Oryzias latipes: one gene and its partner. The protein of the gene in region 2 purifies or fractionates together with the protein of the main gene of each other region. This does not show direct contact. Links are inferred from orthologs where the notes say so. Each region holds a gene or a part of one and is shown on either strand. Other genes may lie near its edges.

Region 1 (3,651 bases), on a different chromosome or scaffold from region 2:
GATAGCACAAGGGTTAAAAGAATGTGTGCATTTTTCATTTTCCAATGACTAAACTTAATCTACATACTTTTAGTCTGAATTGCTTGCAATAAACAAATTTCAAAGCATAGTAGGGAAATTTGTAAAAACTTTAGCCAATTCTAAACAGGAAAAAATCCAGGGACACTTTCAGTTCTTTAGAACCTTGTCTGTTTCAAAGCATTAACATTAAATCTGGACTTAGATTAAAAAAGGACATTTTGGATTTGACCTGCATACATGAATGGGAGTTAATGCTATAGATAACAGGTTGCGGAGTGAAATATCCATTTACTTCAGTCTAAAATAAAATTTCATAAGAGCTTTATTTGAATTTTAACATATAAAAACTACATACAATTTGTTGCACATTAAACATCGAGGAACATGATTAAAAGCAGTTAAAACACGGGATGGGTACTACATTACATGTCCATAGTGGTCAATTCACAGACAGCAAATAGTAAAAAATAAAACAATCCCAAAACCCAGAACTTCTAGATCTTATTGTGCTTGAACAGGAAATGAACTAATCAGAGACTTCCATCTTTTCTTGTTTGATGACATCTGCAGACAAAAAATAAAGAAAACATGTTCATATTTCTCTTTTTTAAAGAAAAATCAGAGAAGTTAGCATTGACCCAAAATCAGGCACCTGTTGTTTCTTCTTCCTTCATTCTCTCAATGACACACTTCTTAATCTCCAGCCCAATAGCTCTGGAGAGCGGAGGTGGAACGGCATTTCCAACCTGAAGAACATAAAACATAAAAACAATAAAAGTAAATGACAAAGCAAAGAAAGAAAACGTCTTGAAATGGTGTCAATCCAATGACTGAAAGACTTCACCTGTCTGTGTTTGTCCAGGATGTTTCCAAAGAAGCGGTAGGTGTCAGGAAATCCTTGAGAGCGAGCACATTCCCTGACACTGACCACTCGGTGCTGCTCAGGGTGCAGAACGCGGCCCTGAATATCAACGAGTTAAAACCAAAAGATTAAATGCTGATCTCCAGCTTGAAGAGTCCAGTCAGCTGATCAAATTCTAACTTCTAACAACACAGCCCGATATTCTTAAATACACTTTGATAATAATGGACTACTTTTATATTCTAATTTTTGATTACTCTGATCATCACTCTTCTGCTTATGATTGCTCTTTTTAAAGTAATACAGAAAAGCAAAGTCTCTGCACCTGCTTGCCCATGGGTTCGGGGTTGGTGACAGTCGTGCTGAAAAACCCATCCCACTCCAGTCTGCCATAAAGCCCGGCCCAGTGGTTGTGGCGGTTCCCGGTGTGGGGCAGACACCAGGGGATCAGAGTGTTGAACTGCCGGTCTGCGGGATCACAAGGCTTCCCTAAAACGACACACAGAGCGGGTCAGAGTCACACTGGAGATGATTTCAGGACATCCTGAAAAAAGTGCTGCTCACCTCCGGCACAAGTACAGACGCCTCTGAGGGCGCCGGTGCTGCTGCGGCCATTCTTCTTGTCAGTGTGGGTGTAGCGCAGCTTCTTGGTCATGGTGCCATCTTTGAGGCGAACCTCAATGTTGGGCAGATCTCTCCAATCAGAGCCTGGAGCCAAGGGAATGTGACGCATCCGACCCTCAACCAGAGCGCTCATGTCCTTCAAACAGACAGACAGATGCTCTTTGGTACATCTACACACACGTTATGCATCATTTAGGTATTTTTGAAGAGCATCAGGTAAACTTACCTTGCAGATATGATCCCTGAGAATGGGCTGATACTGCGTGCCTCTGATCTGTCTCTGAAACCAAGACTGAGGCTCCCCGTTGTAGGAAATCTCCAGGGCAGATGCACCATTGCGAATCTCGGGGAGGTCGGACATGCTGTCTCTGACTGTGATGGTTCTGTAGATGCCCCCGTTACCTCTGATGTTAAAAACAAAAATAATCCCAGAAGTGTTAGACATATTTTTCTTTCATCTGAAGTCAGTGAAGCAGACAGCTTCACTGTTTTATTTTATAGGGTTTTCTTTACCGGGTAACATTACTGACGTATCTCTTTTCATCCACCACCACGCTCAGAGAGCAGGCTCTGGGCGCAAACACGTGCAGCGGTTCAGGGTAGCGAGGCAGCTTCTCTCCTGGAGCAGCAGCCAGGATGATAGCTCTGCGGCGTGTTTGGGCAACGCCATACTGACCCGCCTGAGGAGCAGAACAAACGTCACCTCAGGGACTCGTGCTTAGGTGCAGTATAAGAGCTTCACACATGCAGAAGACCCGTAGGAACAGTCTAGGCCGCAGTCTGAAGGTCAGTCTCACCTGAAGAACACCAAAGGTACACTGGTAGCCCATCCGCACAAGGCAGCGCAGAGTCAGCTTCAGAACCATGGAGTTCTTGAAGGAAACAAAGTTCCTCACATTCTCCAGCAAGAAGAACTTGGGTCTGTAGTAATCACAGTAACTAGGGGGGGGGGGGGGGGGGGGGGGCAAATAAAATCATTTTAACAGTCAGTTCAACTGTAAAACAGCAACAACATCCTGACAAGAAATACCTCAGATAGGAAACCACAAGCGAGTTCTTGAACTTGGAGTAAGTGCGAGAGTTGAAGCGATTCATTCCACTGAAGCCTTGACATGGAGGCCCCCCACAAAGCATCTCCACGTCTCCCTTCTGCGGCAGCTTCTGACCCAGAGAATTGGTCTTCTCCCCGGACATGACCAGCTTCAGCAGGACGTTGCAGTCCTCTGTGAAGACTGTGGTGCCGGGGTTGTTGAGCCTGAAGGCCTGAGCTGCCGGCTCCCACATCTCGATGGCCCACAGTGACTCCGAGATGCCTGAAAGCAGCAGATTGAGTCTGAGCAATGCACTGCAAAATAAACAACTGTGTGTTTTATTCCACACATGAAGTCCTCCATTTTCCAAAAGATTCACTGCTTACTTAAATACAAAGCTAATTTTTTGCATAATTGATCAGAAAACGAAAAAAAAAGACATTCCAGACCCCCAAACATTCTGACATGGATTTATTACCGGCTTGATGGAAACCCTCGGACAGGCCCCCACAGCCAGAGAAAACATCAAGGGTGCGATATTTTGGAACTTTAGGCATCTGTGGGCCAACGTTGGAGTCCTGCTGTTCCTGTGAAGCCTTCCCTTTGCCTTTTCCTGATGGGATAGAGACCAGGTTTCAGTGATCTCAGAGGTGATTCATTTCTACATGTCAGAGTTCAAACCAACCTTTTCCTTTGCCCTTTCCTTTTCCTTTATGAACTGCAGACCGGGCGTGATTTGGAGGATCCTCAAAGCTTTTAGACCTTGCATTGTAGGCCTGTGAGGGAAACAAACATTAAACATTGGTTCCATTTTCACCTGCGTACACAATCATACAACCAGTCACCTATAAAGAAGCTGAACAGCAAGTTCTTGAATTATGGTACAAAAAGTAATCCTAACGGTACCTCCAGAAAATAGAAGCGGTCTGGTCCACCGCTGGAATAGTCTTGGACCGATTCAATCAGGTCTTCTGCATATTCTATTTGACAGCGGCCCAGAACTTCAGACATGCGGACAGTCACTTCTTCATCACTCCAGTAGAGCTGGTTAATGTCAGCATGGTAACTCGCTTTAACACCTTTGTGAGTGTTTTCTGGTCTGGGGGGTGAGGA
Region 2 (3,651 bases):
AAGTTTCCACACATCCTTTTATCACCAAATGGAGATTTTTAGATGCGGGACCGGCGTATTTAGAATAAAGTCAGGAGTGAGGCCTCAGCTCGGCGTGTGGGTTCGTACCATGGTGCTGCGGTTGGGTCCAGGCCTCTCGCCCTCCAGCCGCGTGGGCATCTTCAGGCCGCCGTACTTCTTCCAGTAGGTCCAGCATGAGGCGCACAGGCGGCACTGCATGTTGGGGGGGCCCCAGGAGTACCACTGGTAAGAGCTGCTCGCTACAAACACACAAATAAACAGAAATTTCATCGAAAGGCTTCAATTCCATCCTAAAATATCAACAGAGCACTGATATGAATTTTCATTAGTTATCAGGTTTTGTTCAAAGAAATGTAAAAAAACGATAAATTGGTTCTGAAAAGAGCCAAACGGACAACACTAGAAGAAAAACGACAGATGCTTTTGCATGAAGGAGCGAAAACTTTAATCATTTTTCAGTCAATTAAATACAACCGTTAAAATAATCGAGCGCTTCAGGGCTGATGATCTCATTTTGTCAGAGCGCCGCACCGTTGATGATCGGAGTGACTCACTGTAGCAGCTTTCACAGGCTCTGCCCAGGCCGGGGATCTGACCCGAGCCCGGCGGTCCCGGGACGCCTCCAGCCACCGCTCCGTTCAGAAGAGCCGGCTTGACGTTGTTACTCAGCTGGTTTGGGTTGGGCTTGTTGCTGGAGGGAGCCGAGCACAAGAGACCACATCAGACCAGAAGAGACGAGCACATCCGAGAAGTTCAACCGAGAACGGAAACATGTTATGGGCTACCAACGATCTTTCCAACACGTTAGGAGGAGAAATGGCAGATATTTCCTATTTATTTCATAGTAGAACTCTATAAAAGGAGAAAAACCATTAGAAAATAAAAATAAACAGATGACTGAAAAGAAACTGACTAAAACAGGGAAACGGATGCAATCGTGTGAATTAAATAAAAACAGTATTTTTAGCATTTAGCATTGGTTTGTAATTGGAATTCAATCACACCAGCTCTTCACAATACTGCAGAAACGACCCCCCTCCCCCACCAAAGGTAAAGATTTCAAAAAGCTATTTAGCTTTGAAATCTTTGCTTTAAAACACAGTTGTGATAATAATTCTGATAGCCCAGAAACACTGTATGGAGTTTAGTGAGCCTTTGCCTGTTTGCTCCTTTTTTCCATTTTGTTTTCTCCTCGTCTTTGCGGATTTATGTGTTTTTTTTGTGTCAATTTTTGTGATTTTTGCATTGAAAAATTACAACATTTACTGTTTGGAGTTGATTGTGGAACTATTGTGTAATATGATGAAAAATAAAGAGAAGGAAAAAAAGATGCTGGGGTTGTTGTAAAATAAAAAAATATGATAAGAATAAATTTAAGTTAAAAAAAGGCATAAAAAGGCCCAGTACTAATAAAAACCAATGAAACTAATAGGTAAAAAAAAAATTTCAGTATGAGCTACATGTGTTTCCAAAAAGGGGTTTCATTATAGAACCCAAAATATTTTTCAACCAGTACATTTCTGTTTATTTCACCATACAATTAAAATCAAAATCCACACAAAGTGTGAAATAACCTTGAATAGATGCTCGTATAATCATAATTAATGTTGTGTATCTGCAAAAAGCACAATTAAATGTTTCTTTTGTTCGGCTGGAAAATCCAAAGATTTAATATCCTTAAAAATTGACATTTTTTTCTCCATTTTGCTCTAAATGAAATGGCATGTTTTTCCAGTGGCTGCATCTCTAGAGCAGATTGTGAAGCTTTGCTACTTTATGATTAAAAAAAAAAAAACATTTCTGCGTCTCAAACATTAGAAATAAAACAGGTCCGACAAGAAAACCTTTAATTGCGACAAACTCACTAGTTGGGGATGTAGACTTGCTTCAGCTTGCTCTCTGCTTCTGCTGCTTTTAGCCGTTTCTGGAACAGTTTGGAGGGAAAAAAAGAAATCAAAAGGATTTTAGTTTGTTTTTCTGCTTTAGTGCAAAAGAAGAACTGTCTGATCATCAACATGTGAATTTTTTAAAGGATGACCAGCAGCTGCAGCAAAGGAGCTTTAATACAAAGTAGAAACTACAGTCACCTGCTGCACGTATCTGTCTGTGGTCTTCCACATGTAGTAATACTCGATTATACTCGTCAGGGATTTCCAGGGCAACTACAGGAAGATAGAAACAAATATAGTTAAACAAACAAAAATAAAATGTTATTTAAATCTTAAAAATGTAACCAAATGGGACATTTTGACCCATCAAATGTGCTCTTATAGGTTTTTTTCCTCTTTTTTTTTGCTGGAGGAGTTTGATTGGAAGCTGCTGCCCTCAGTACTCGCCCCACCCATTCTGTGGTTTTCTTTTCTGGATTGAACAGACCCAAGAATGAACAGCACTGTCAGGATCTGGCCACCAGGGGGCAGACTGCCTCATGATGTGACATAACCACATTGACAATGTTCCACTTAGTTCAGCGTGGCTGTCCCCTGAGCATTTATTCAGGTACTCAAACGCGAAAGAGGACAGCATGGCTACTGTTTTTTTTTGTGCTGAATTGAACCAGAACGTCTATATTTTGTATTTTTTCCTTTAATATTCCATCATGTTTGACACTTACAAAATCTTGCTGAATATCTGTGAAGTCTTTGCCATATTTCTCCAGCGCCTCCTCAAACAGATTTGCCTCCGAGGCGCTCCACTCCTCCATCTCGTCCCTGCAGAGGACGGGTCCCCCCTGAGGCACCAGCGCGGCGATGGCCCGGGTCATGTCGTAGCCGGCGGCATGGAGGGTGTCCATGGCGTGAAACTATTGACGAGAGGGAAAAAGCTGCTTCAGCTTGTTGAAGCTGCTAAACTCCAGCAACATTCATGCAAAAATGCAGCTCTTCTGGCAGATTTTGGAGTCCATCTTTGGGCTTAAAGGCTTCTCATCCATCTTTTATAACTAAGGTTTAGATCCAGGCCGGCACAGACTAGCAGTAGTCCTTTAGGGCCCACGATTGTATACTATGAAGTACAGCCCCAAAACAATCACAGCTTTCGAGTTTCGTCTCACCAAAGTGATGTCTCTGGAAGCTGCAGCGGCGCTCATGTGGAGGCTCGGCTGCCGCACCGAGCTGCTGCAGTCCAACGCTCGGGCGAACGTACCTACTGAGCTGCAAGACAAAGATAACAAGTTACACGTTCGTCACTACGGGAAGGAAGAACATCTTAAATCCGATTTGATTCCAAAACCCAGATCAACGGTTCACAGATGAAACCACAACTCTAACTAGTTACTGTTTTATGTTTGAATGGTTGTTCTATGTATGTCTTTGTTCTAGATGTGTGACAAGGAGATCAGAATCAACAAAACATAAACACTCAAAGATGTTGAAAGAAATCTTTTTGTCTCACTCAAAGATTTTTCTGTCAACTTCCTGGTTAACTCCAGTCGCAAACAAAGCAAACGTCAGTGTTGATTTGGGTCATTTCACAACAAATGTTGAAAATGTTCGCCACAGATTTTCCTCTTCAAACTTTTGCCGACTACAGTAAAAGTAGATCGATGACAAGAAGATAGTAAATGAAGACACAGCAAAGCCTCAATAAAATGACGCAAAAACACTCAATCTAAACCGACAGTGTTTCCAA

What was found.
Region 1: the proteins of mta1 (region 2) and dnmt1 purify together in Homo sapiens (affinity purification with western blotting; 4 studies listed by BioGRID and IntAct, with this or other methods). This does not show direct contact. The link is inferred for Oryzias latipes from reciprocal best matches to the Homo sapiens genes MTA1 and DNMT1.

Annotation. Positions count from the first base shown.
Region 1 is NC_019866.2:8,451,610-8,455,260, reverse strand, and holds the end of dnmt1 (DNA (cytosine-5)-methyltransferase 1), read right to left. Parts: intron 3,638-3,651; coding exon 3,445-3,637; intron 3,315-3,444; coding exon 3,224-3,314; intron 3,152-3,223; coding exon 3,017-3,151; intron 2,821-3,016; coding exon 2,538-2,820; intron 2,447-2,537; coding exon 2,305-2,446; intron 2,188-2,304; coding exon 2,021-2,187; intron 1,912-2,020; coding exon 1,734-1,911; intron 1,644-1,733; coding exon 1,448-1,643; intron 1,373-1,447; coding exon 1,209-1,372; intron 983-1,208; coding exon 866-982; intron 768-865; coding exon 674-767; intron 586-673; coding exon 548-585; 3' UTR 326-547; downstream 1-325. UniProt on the Homo sapiens protein: Methylates CpG residues. Preferentially methylates hemimethylated DNA. Associates with DNA replication sites in S phase maintaining the methylation pattern in the newly synthesized strand, that is essential for epigenetic inheritance.
Region 2 is NC_019880.2:4,663,066-4,666,716, forward strand, and holds part of mta1 (metastasis-associated protein MTA1), read right to left. Parts: intron 3,174-3,651; coding exon 3,074-3,173; intron 2,825-3,073; coding exon 2,636-2,824; intron 2,184-2,635; coding exon 2,109-2,183; intron 1,946-2,108; coding exon 1,887-1,945; intron 713-1,886; coding exon 576-712; intron 261-575; coding exon 109-260; intron 1-108. UniProt on the Homo sapiens protein: Transcriptional coregulator which can act as both a transcriptional corepressor and coactivator. Acts as a component of the histone deacetylase NuRD complex which participates in the remodeling of chromatin.